Linked DNA regions of Oryzias latipes. The protein of the gene in region 1 purifies or fractionates together with the protein of each later gene. This does not show direct contact. Links are inferred from orthologs where the notes say so. Each region holds a gene or a part of one and is shown in the gene's direction. Other genes may lie near its edges.

Region 1 (3,659 bases):
TTGTGACACAACCCCGGATATGTATCCAAAGTGTAGCCCTCTCCGCTGACAGCTGTCCCCCTCCTCAGTAAATGGGGCATGCTCTTCATAACAGGCCTGTCAGCGACTTGTAGAAATACGATTGTTCCTGTCTCTCCCATTTTCCAAAGTACAATACAAGGTCACTTTAAGATCCACGTATCATAAGAGTTGACAAAATAGAACCATGATGCTTTAATAATGATGTCAAAGAGTCTTGTAATTTCCTTTTTAGGATAGCATGAGGTTATGCTCTAATCCCTTTTTATTGTACTTAAGATATATATACATTTTATATACCTAAAATATTCCAAATTAAATAAAACAGCTTTTACTTAACAGAAACTTGCAAATTGTCCTCAGCCCAGTGTTTGCTTGTTTTTTAATGGTGACTCTGGCGCAGTGAGAGCTGTTCCCATTTGTGATGCTGTTTAAGGTTTTTCCTAAAGGGAGAGGTTTAGATTTGTGATTTGATAATGTGCTGACTGCGTCTGCTAATAGACCCACCAACCCTGTAAAGCTCTACATTAATGTTATTGCCAGCTGTTACAGCCCCATATTGTGATGTGAATTCCCCCCATTGTGGATTCCACCAGAGAGGAATGTGTTGCGTTCCACCAGCGGCTGCTGGAGCTGATGCTTGCTACCAAAGAAAATGTGTGTGATACTATTAGACAGGCTGCGGCTGGTTTAGGAAGTGTTTGAAAATTGGCACTAAGCTCCTCTAAAAATATACTTCACTTCCACCAGACAGATAAGCCAGGCAGGAAACAGACACAGAAGCAAGGTAAAGAGTCTGTCCCATTCCCAAAGTAAATCCCCAGAACAATACTGTCAATTGAAACTGGTGGTGTTAAGACAGCAACAGTTGGAACAAGCCTGTGAGTCAGCTTGATAGCTTGTTATCGATGATTAGGTTATTAATTAGTAGTATACAGTATTTTTCAGAAAAGAAAGTGCAGAAAGATTCCACTATTTTATTTATATCTTTAGTGTCTTTGAAATGTTAACATAATTCTGTCATTTGGTGTGCATAAATTCAGAGTTTTGTCTGAATGTCATTCAGTTTACCTCCACACGCCGTTAGGGCTTAGTCACAACTGCCCTTACAGGTGGATACAGGCTGTCTGGAGGCGAGTAATGAGCAAACCTGTACAGGGCATGTAGGTGGCCTACACAACATGGCTTACATTATCTGTACAAATACTTCAGGACACACTTATCACACGTACAACAATAGTGCGTTCCATTTTTATAGCGTCCCTTAAGGTGGCCGCACAAACCTGGGGGAAACTGTGGGACACCCCTGCACTCCCTTTAAGATGAGGTCGCTCCTGTCTATGACCCTCCACGGGCCAAGGCAAAGCCGCAGCATCCGTACGGGTCCCCCCCCCCCACGAGTGGTGCATGTCACTATGGCTTCACATCTATTGAGCAGCTATTAGCCAAGACATTGTTTTAAAAGGATTTTGTGATCTGAAGTTCTGTTAAACTAAAAACTGTCCTTTCAGACATTTTTCCCCATCCTTAATAAAATTGAAAAATTATATTTTTGTTGCTTCTTTGTAAAGTTACATGGTTTTAAAATGTTTTCGGAATTGCTTTGAAATGGTTCCAATGTGTGAATCTGTTGTTCCATCGGATTATAGAGGTTTAAATAAGAGTAAAACCTTTTAGTTTCCTCCTTTAAGACATAAAAGTAAAACTTTCAGCCTTTTTTAAACGATGCTGTTATGAGATCCTTCTGATTCCAAGAAAACCTTTTATGTTTGGATTGATGGATTTGGGTTAAACTGCTTTTGTCTGCGTTGTCACCTTAAAATTCCGGGATTCTTACAGGTTTAGACTTCAGCAGAGATGGATGCTATATGGCTCTGGCTGAGCGTCGTGACTGCAAAGACTACGTCAGTATATTTGTTTGTGACGACTGGCATTTACTCAGGGTAAGAAGGGTTCTGCTTTCTATCAAATCTCAGTGTTTTAACAAAAGCTGTTTTCTAAATGAAATGTTAACAGGGATAAATCATGACACTGTTTTTTTCCTCTATGTTGAATAGTTGTCAATTAGAATAGAATAGACTTTATTGTTACTGCCAGCAGCAGTTCAAATGACAAAGTTACGACTAAGCTTTGGGGAAAAAACAAATGTTGATTCTTAAGATATCAAACAGGGAGCTAAAAATAAACTATAATATGGAAAATTATGGATCTAAAATATTAACATTTTAACAAGTGTAAATCAGGACCTTCAGGACCTAAAGACTTATTATTTTTTATTCTAACACTCATTTTATTACAGATGGGACAAACAGCTAAGAGAAAAAACCAAAAAATAAAAACCGAGTTACACTATTGCTGTAATTCCAATTTGGCTGCATCTGTAGATGTTGGATCAGTTTTAATTATCTTGTTGGTATAGAATTTTAAGTAATGTAACATATGGGTTTTGGGGTGTCAGTTAATGAATGTAAACATGAATCCACACTTTGATTACAGCATTTTGAGACTGAAACTCAGGACCTTTCTGGATTGGAGTGGTCTCCCAACGGCTGTGTGCTGGCCGTGTGGGAGAGCTGTCTGGAGGTGAGCTTTTTAATTTCACCTGTACCGGTTAACCCCTTAAGTTATAGTAACTTGTTACTTTTAATATTACATTGTGTGTAAGGAATGTCTGGATTCCTATATGGGTTGGTCCTTTTGAGGCTACAGCAAACCCTTTGAGTGTGGGACAGCGTTATAATAAGCTACATAGTCATAGTAGTAGGTTTAGGGGCTTTCATCTGGACTTAGTTTTTAATGTTAGAAGACGTTTCACCTCTTATCCAAAAGGCTTTGTCAATTCTGAATTAGCTGGTAAAAGAGCTGGTATATATGCGCTCTTGGGGGAGGAGTCAGACCTGAAACCGGATGGTAGTGTCAACTTAGCCTACGACAATACCATTGTCACAAAAAAACAGAATTTCTATGTTGAGGTATTTTCATTTATAGTATTAAATGCCTAAACGAATGATGTATATCTAGATTGTATTCATTTACGTAAAAGAACTGGCCTGTATCGTATCACCATAAAGTTAATTGTATCTTTTATGCATCGATTCTTGGACCATGTATGAAGATGCTCAGAATCATTTTAGAGGGAAAGACATACTCCCACTTTACTATAAATGTTATGAGTGATACCCAGGTTGGATAGATGGGCTGCCCAAAGAAGGTTAGAAGAGTGCTGTTTTTATTGTTTAAAGTGCTTGTCCTGTCTGCAGTACAAGATGTCGCTTTACTCGTTGGATGGCCGGCTGCTGTCAACCTACAGTGCCTATGAGTGGTCGCTGGGTATCAAGTCCGTGTCGTGGAGCCCCAGCAGCCAGTTCCTGGCCATTGGCAGCTTTGATGAAAAAGTATGGACAGCCTTAAAAAAAAGTTTTCCGTATGTAGTTCAATCTTCAGAGTTTCATTCTTCCATTTCAGGTCCGCATCCTCAATCATATCACATGGAAAAAAATTGCACAGTTTGAGCATCCTGCTATCATTGATAACACAAAAGCTGTAAGTACTTTAGACTAATAAATGAACCACCTGCAAATACATCTTTCTGACCTTAAGTGCATTTTTTAAACTACTTATGCTGTTTGTAGACTGTATAT
Region 2 (2,706 bases), on another chromosome or scaffold:
TGTTGTGAATGAGGTTAATAAAGTCCATTTTCAGTACTTGCGTACTTATTTAAAACTGGAACTTAAAGTATTTTTAGAGTGCATTTACTGATGTTCAATTTTCAATTCAATTCAATTCAATTTTATTTGTATAGCCCAAAATCACAACAACAGTCGTCTCGATGGGCTTCGAAGTGAAACATGAACTCAAAAGGATCACGAATACAAAGAGTTCAATAGGAAAATACTAAAATGAACTAACAAACTGACTAAGCTATACTGGCATCCCTGCCCTTAGACCCCCCTTCGCGGTAAGGAAAAACTCCCAAAAAAAAACGGATTCCGGAAAAAACAAAGAAACCTCAGGGGTGTCCACATGAAGGAGGGATCCTCCCCCAGGACGGACAGGTGATTTACCAGAACTCTTAGAGAAGAATTAACTTATCTAAATCTACAACTACATATATAAAATCAAGCAGACGAGCTTCATCCAGCTGTGGTCGGGGGGACAGTCAAAGGCGCGAGTCGAGCCGGAGACAGGAACCACGGCCAGGTGTAGGAGCAGGAGCAGAGATGAGGTACTCTGTCAGGTACAGAGCAGAGACGAGCCAGAGATGAGCCTGAGACAGGATCCACAGCCAGGTGTAGGAGCAGGAGCAAAGGCGAGGTAGACTGTCAGCAACTGGAGCACGGATGAGCCAACAGGAGTCTGGAAGCACTCCCACTCCCCAGGAGGGGAGAGGAAAAGAGGGACAATACATGAATCGCACTGCACCAAACAGAGGCATGGAGAACTAAATGATGAATAATGATCAAGAATGGAGAAGAGAGGAAGGGTAGAAGTAGAAGAGAAAAGAGGACAGAACCCCAGAGCACCATAGTTACCCCAGCTTCAACTTCTAGCAGCCTTTTAAAAGAAATAGTTACTATTAAGTTTAATTTAAACAAATTAACATTAAGTTAAATAATCTCTGAATACTAACTAGTCTGACAATAAGCCTGTCCAAAGAGGAATGTTTTCAGTCTAACTTTGAATGTAGAAACTGAGTCGGCCTCTCTTCCATGAGCTGGGAGTTTATTCCATAAGACAGGGGCTTGGTGGCTAAATGCTCTACTTCCAACCGTACTTTTACTAATTCTAGGAACCACAAGCAGTCCTGCATTTAGTGAGTGAAGTGTTCTTATTGGGTGGTAAGGGACTATGAGGTCCTTAATATAGGACGGGGCCATTCCATGTAAGGCCTTATAGGCTAACAGTGAAGTGAAACTAACACAGGAGTGATGTGATCTCTTCTGCTAGTTCCAGCTAACAATCTAGCTGCTGCGTTCTGAACAAGCTGAAGACTTCTTAAGGAACTCTTAGGACACGCTGCTAACAAGGAGTTACAGTAATCCAGCCTCGACGTAACAAATGCATGGATGAGTTTTTCCGCATCACTCTTAGAAAGTATATTTCTGATCTTAGCAATATTCCGCAGGTGAAAAATGATGTTGCTTTTTGCAAATGCAAAAACTGACTAAATGTAAACATTTGTGTGTTTTCAGTGAAAGGGTGGTTCAGGAGATGCGCAGACAGGGTCTTTCCTTCTCATCCCTGGACAGCAACTCTTCCCTCACAGCCTCCAGCGGCATTCACGGTGCCTCCCAACACTCTATCTTCCAAACTCTTGAGCGCTCTTCTGACAAGTCAGCAGACAAGTAACCTGAATTTGAGTGTCAGAGACCTGACATCCTTCATTTCTGCATGCACTCTGGATATTACCCATCTCTTTTTCAAGGACAGCAGAGAAAAATTCTGTATTGAAAAGTGAGTTGGACACAAATCCTTCCAGAAATGCATGCTGAATGAAATCGCTTCTAGCACTCCCCATTATTACCGTACTATTTTCTTCAATAAATCATCCAAATTTTAGAAAGAAATAAGCAGAAACTACTGCTTGAAATTAGATTTTTTCCTTTCAGAATAAGCAGCTTGTTCTGTCAGTATGATGTTCCGAGTTATTGAAAAATCCTTTCATTTCCAACATTTTTATCTCTTACATGTTAGAAAAACATGCATTATGTGGCAAAACTTGTATTTTTTTTTTATTATGTTAAGTTATTAACAAAATAAAGGTGTACATAAACCATGAAGCTCAGTAAATGGTCCAATTCCATTACATGCTGTGTGCTTTTGCCTGCTAAGTCTTTTTCACTTTTAAATCTTCCCATGAACAAATACAAAAACAATTTTGACCATATCTGTCATTGTGTAATAAAACAACTATTGTAACAGATACTTTAAGGCTGGTTTAAAACCTTTTCAAGCTTTAGTGGGTTGAAGTCTGGTCAAACAGCATTGCAGCAGCATTGCAATAATTTGCACCCCTCTGCAAACACAGATGATTGTCTATAAAATGGTGAGGCACTCCTTAATGCCTGCAGTGGTCCATGGTCATGTTGGGAAGAGGATAAGTGAATAAGGAGAAGTCTAAGATATACTTTGGGAGGAGTTCTCTCAGAAGCTTCTGGGGCAAACTGCACAGGTAAAAGTGTAAGGTCTCTGTAGTAACTGGCTTGTACCACGTCTGCCTTTCGGGGAAGTGAACAGAAGAAGGCACATTGATGAGTTGCAACACAAAGTCTGCATCGGTTTCAAGGTGTTCATAGGAGCCAATGAAATCGTAGGACATGGCACAAGGCTGGCAGAGGTTGTACATAGGCATCCAGTGCTCATTCATGCGCTCC
Region 3 (3,759 bases), on another chromosome or scaffold:
ATGTAGGAAACCTTCTAGAAATTACCAAAAACAGGTTTAAAATCCACACAACAGATTCCAAATGTTTTAAAATTTATAAAACCAGCAGCAAAGTTGAAATTAGGACACTTCTGAACAGTTTTTTTTTTCCTATGATGACTTAGTATTTCGGACCTAACATGCAGCGTCTCCAGGCAAACTCGAAAAAGTTACTTATTTTTTATTCCAAAATATGTTTTTTTTTATTTCTCTGTTTTTTGTTTTAATTTTAAGCCACCAGGAGGTACCAAACCTTGGAGCTCCTAAAAAGAAGCCATGGACTAGTTGGGAGAAGGAAGCATTTACCATTATCTCCTATATGTTAAAAAGTCATACTCCGAGAAAACATGTAGATAATCTTGTTTTAAAAGTCTATGAAATTGTTAGTGATTGACTTTCCATTTAGGCTGTGTGTGTTTGTGTGTGTGTGGGGGGGGGGCACAACCACAGCTATTTTGATTCTGTGATGACTGACATGTGTACATGTTTTTGATTGACATATGAGTAAACCCATTAGTGAACACAACAAAAGATCCATTTGTTGAAGTGGGCGGAATAGTTCTGGTAAATGAGCTCATCCCACCCATTCTCCATTCTCAATCATCCAATGGGGAACATTATTGGTGAAGTGCATTCACACATTTCCAAGCTTTTCACCACATTAGCAGCTAAACTAACTGAATGTAAATACATCTTCAACTCATTAAAAAAATAACCAAAAAGGCCACTACTGTGGAAGTTTTTTTTGCTATAAGTATAACCACTGGAGAACTAGGCAGAGTAAAATTGCTTTCAAAGAGGCAGGGTCAAAAAGTCCATAAAAAAGATTCCTATTTTGTTCACTTCTAGGTAAAAGTTCTCATGAAAAAGAAAACTACCAAATATATTTAAAAGAAATAGAAAATAAACATGACCCTGTCCGTACTAAAATCAACCCTTTTTGTCCCTCAAAGAGTTCCGTAGCTCATGACGCGCGCGCAGACCGACGGTTAGTTCCTGGTGGGAAACTTGTACCTCCCCGCGGGAACTGTGTCGTGTCTTGACAACAAGCGATGGCGCTCAATTATCAGGCATCGACTCTGTCTCTAACTTTGCCCATTTCCTGTCAAATTTGCCTCGGAAAGGTAAGCAGCATCTACATTTCGACATTAGCCGGGAATAGAGGAAGTAAAACTTCTCCTGCGTTGTCTGGCGGTGACTGCACTAGCGGCGCGCTAGTCACCCAGCTGCAACTCGGATCACCAAAGGAAAGCGTCTATTTGTATTTTTATTTTTTTGTCAAAAAATAATTGTCTGATACTCGTCTCCGTGCAGGTCAGGCAGCCGGTCATTTGTGCCAACTACCACGTGTTCTGTTCGTCCTGCATGGAAGTGTGGTTAAAGAAAGCCGGCCAGTGTCCCACCTGCAGAGTGCCCATCACAGCAGAGAGTCCGTGCAGAGAGATCATCGGTGAGTACCGCTACAAACGAGGGGGGGGCCCCCCCCCCCCCCCCCCCCCAAAAAAAAAAAAGATCAGTAGAGGATGCACTGTCTGCATTGTTAAGAAAATACTTAATTAAATCTACATAAACTTAACACTCCTGTACAGAAAATAAAGGATTAGCTCAATACAGTTCTATCATTTGCAAGTCCCACAATGTTTTTGTTGACACATTAGAGGTGCTGAACTGTTTCTCCATGCATTCCCCTTATAAACTATATATTTTCATGTTTCTTTTTAAATGTAGGCAAGTAACTAATAAATGAGGATATGATAATGTCACTCATGTTGTTTTCTTTGCTTTGAGTTAAAGGTTTGTTCCAGAAATAAGGTTACAACAGTCTGTTAGATAGAACATTTGTTTGAATTACTTTAATGTTAATTTATCAACTTTTGATCTGCTTATATATCATTTCTTAAATATGGTAGCTAGATTCAGTTTTTGATATTTTGGCACCAGAACGTATATTCAGTATCTACTTGGAAAACTACTAGTATCATGTGTATATTTTTGGAAATATAATCTTTTTGTCATTCTGCTACAGGGGGGACGAATGAAGGCGATCACAGTGACAACACATCCATGAGAAAATGTCTCCGTAAAACCAGAGGAGAGCTGCTTTTACGGGAGTATGAGGTACGGCTGCATTCAGGATGCTTTCTGATATTTTAAATTACTAGTTAATTCTGCTTAACTGGGAACCCGTGAGTATGTGTGTAGAGGGTTAGCTACAAAATTAACAGGTTAAAGGGTTTGAGGGGAGTTTACACGACTACTATTAAAATCCAGTCAGCACTGTTCAGTCAAATTTGAACAATTACTGCTAAGTATCAATCAAAGCTTTTATTAGAATTTATTTGGACTCTAATCAAACTGTTTCACTATATTGGCACTACAAATATTACAATGGTTCACTACTCCAAGTCCTTTCAATTTGTTGGTTATTTTTGGTTATATCCGCTTTATTTAGTGTAGAACGTGTTGACATATTCCTACTGTGAGACTAAAAGGAAAATGGTCTCCCACGGAATTAACATACATTTTAAGACATTTTGAAGAATTATTTGTTATGTTGTGTTATTTTATGTTAAATTTGTAAAACTATGTTATGTTAAGTTAAATTTTTTATATTAAAAAATAACATAACCAATCTATACTTGTTTGTTAAATAATATCATCTTTTAACCAGCTTATTTACCAATAATAGTGACTGAAAAGCAGAAGTTTAAATAGTGTTCTCTTGTTTATCTGCAAAAAGTGAAATCCACAAAGACGGACATTAATATTTTAACACTTTTTTTCTCAAAGTTCCTAGCTTCATAGAAAAATAAGTTCAGTATTATGGAACAAAAACAAAAATCTTTTGGAGAACTGGCTTTGCAGAGCTGCCTGCTTCTTGTACAGGAGACATGGCATAAAGGAGATTGATTGACAAGATCTTCAGCCTATTACCATGCAGAACACAGTGTTTAAAAAAAAAAAAGAAAACCATCTAAAGCTGCACAAAAACAAGTCTGCAAAACAGTGAGCCACAAAAGGTGAACTGCAATTAAGCAAGGACCACTGTAATTCACTTTTTCTATCTTTCACATAACAAGATTATGATTAAACTTGGATTGAATTTCATGTTTATTTGTTTTTTTAATTTGGTTTTTCTCCTGACCCTTGTTTTTCACAAAACCTTTCCACGTCAGGAAGAGATCGAAGGGCTTATGAGAGAAAACGAGGAGCTGAAAGTCAAAACTCAAAATCTGGAAACCCAGCTGAAGACCGCATTGCTTCCTACCAGCATAAATGCAGTGGAAGCAGATGAAAAGAGGGTCCCTCACTTTGTTGTAGAGGAATGGAAGAACAAGCTGCAAGCAGCCACAGATGTTTGTGATCAAATAAAGCAGGACATGGACAAACTGAAAGAGGTACACACAACTAAACACATGTTCTGTATTTACTGACAGATGTTGATAAAGCTTGTGCATATGTCGTGTATTTACAGGTCTTATAATTCTATATATAGAAATACAAGTAAAGTTAATAGTTGGAAGGGTAACTGCATGCATTTCTTAAGTTTTAACAGAAGCGTACGATATCTTATTTTTATTTGAGACTTTCTCTGTTTCCTTTAGGCAAATAAGATCCTGCGTTCTCAAAATGTAGACCTTGTCCAAGAGAACATGAGACTTAAAGCAGAAGTGGCGAGCAGATCTCCTCAGAAGTAAGTACTTTTTTTGCAACATTGATCAAGTGATGGAAACAATGAAA

What was found.
Region 2: the proteins of wrap73 (region 1) and cep135 purify together in Homo sapiens (co-immunoprecipitation; 6 studies listed by BioGRID and IntAct, counting the BioPlex papers as one, with this or other methods). This does not show direct contact. The link is inferred for Oryzias latipes from reciprocal best matches to the Homo sapiens genes WRAP73 and CEP135.
Region 3: the proteins of wrap73 (region 1) and rnf219 purify together in Homo sapiens (affinity purification with mass spectrometry; 3 studies listed by BioGRID and IntAct, counting the BioPlex papers as one, with this or other methods). This does not show direct contact. The link is inferred for Oryzias latipes from reciprocal best matches to the Homo sapiens genes WRAP73 and OBI1.

Annotation. Positions count from the first base shown.
Region 1 is NC_019865.2:8,170,527-8,174,185, forward strand, and holds part of wrap73 (WD repeat-containing protein WRAP73), read left to right. Parts: intron 1-1,857; coding exon 1,858-1,961; intron 1,962-2,514; coding exon 2,515-2,601; intron 2,602-3,278; coding exon 3,279-3,413; intron 3,414-3,483; coding exon 3,484-3,561; intron 3,562-3,650; coding exon 3,651-3,659.
Region 2 is NC_019862.2:39,667-42,372, reverse strand, and holds the end of cep135 (centrosomal protein of 135 kDa), read left to right. Parts: intron 1-1,524; coding exon 1,525-1,681; 3' UTR 1,682-2,108; downstream 2,109-2,706. Other genes in the region: chst14 (carbohydrate sulfotransferase 14), read right to left, coding at 2,391-2,706. UniProt on the Homo sapiens protein: Centrosomal microtubule-binding protein involved in centriole biogenesis. Acts as a scaffolding protein during early centriole biogenesis.
Region 3 is NC_019861.2:14,864,405-14,868,163, forward strand, and holds the start of rnf219 (RING finger protein 219), read left to right. Parts: upstream 1-964; 5' UTR 965-1,070; coding exon 1,071-1,142; intron 1,143-1,332; coding exon 1,333-1,468; intron 1,469-2,044; coding exon 2,045-2,136; intron 2,137-3,194; coding exon 3,195-3,416; intron 3,417-3,623; coding exon 3,624-3,712; intron 3,713-3,759. UniProt on the Homo sapiens protein: E3 ubiquitin ligase essential for DNA replication origin activation during S phase.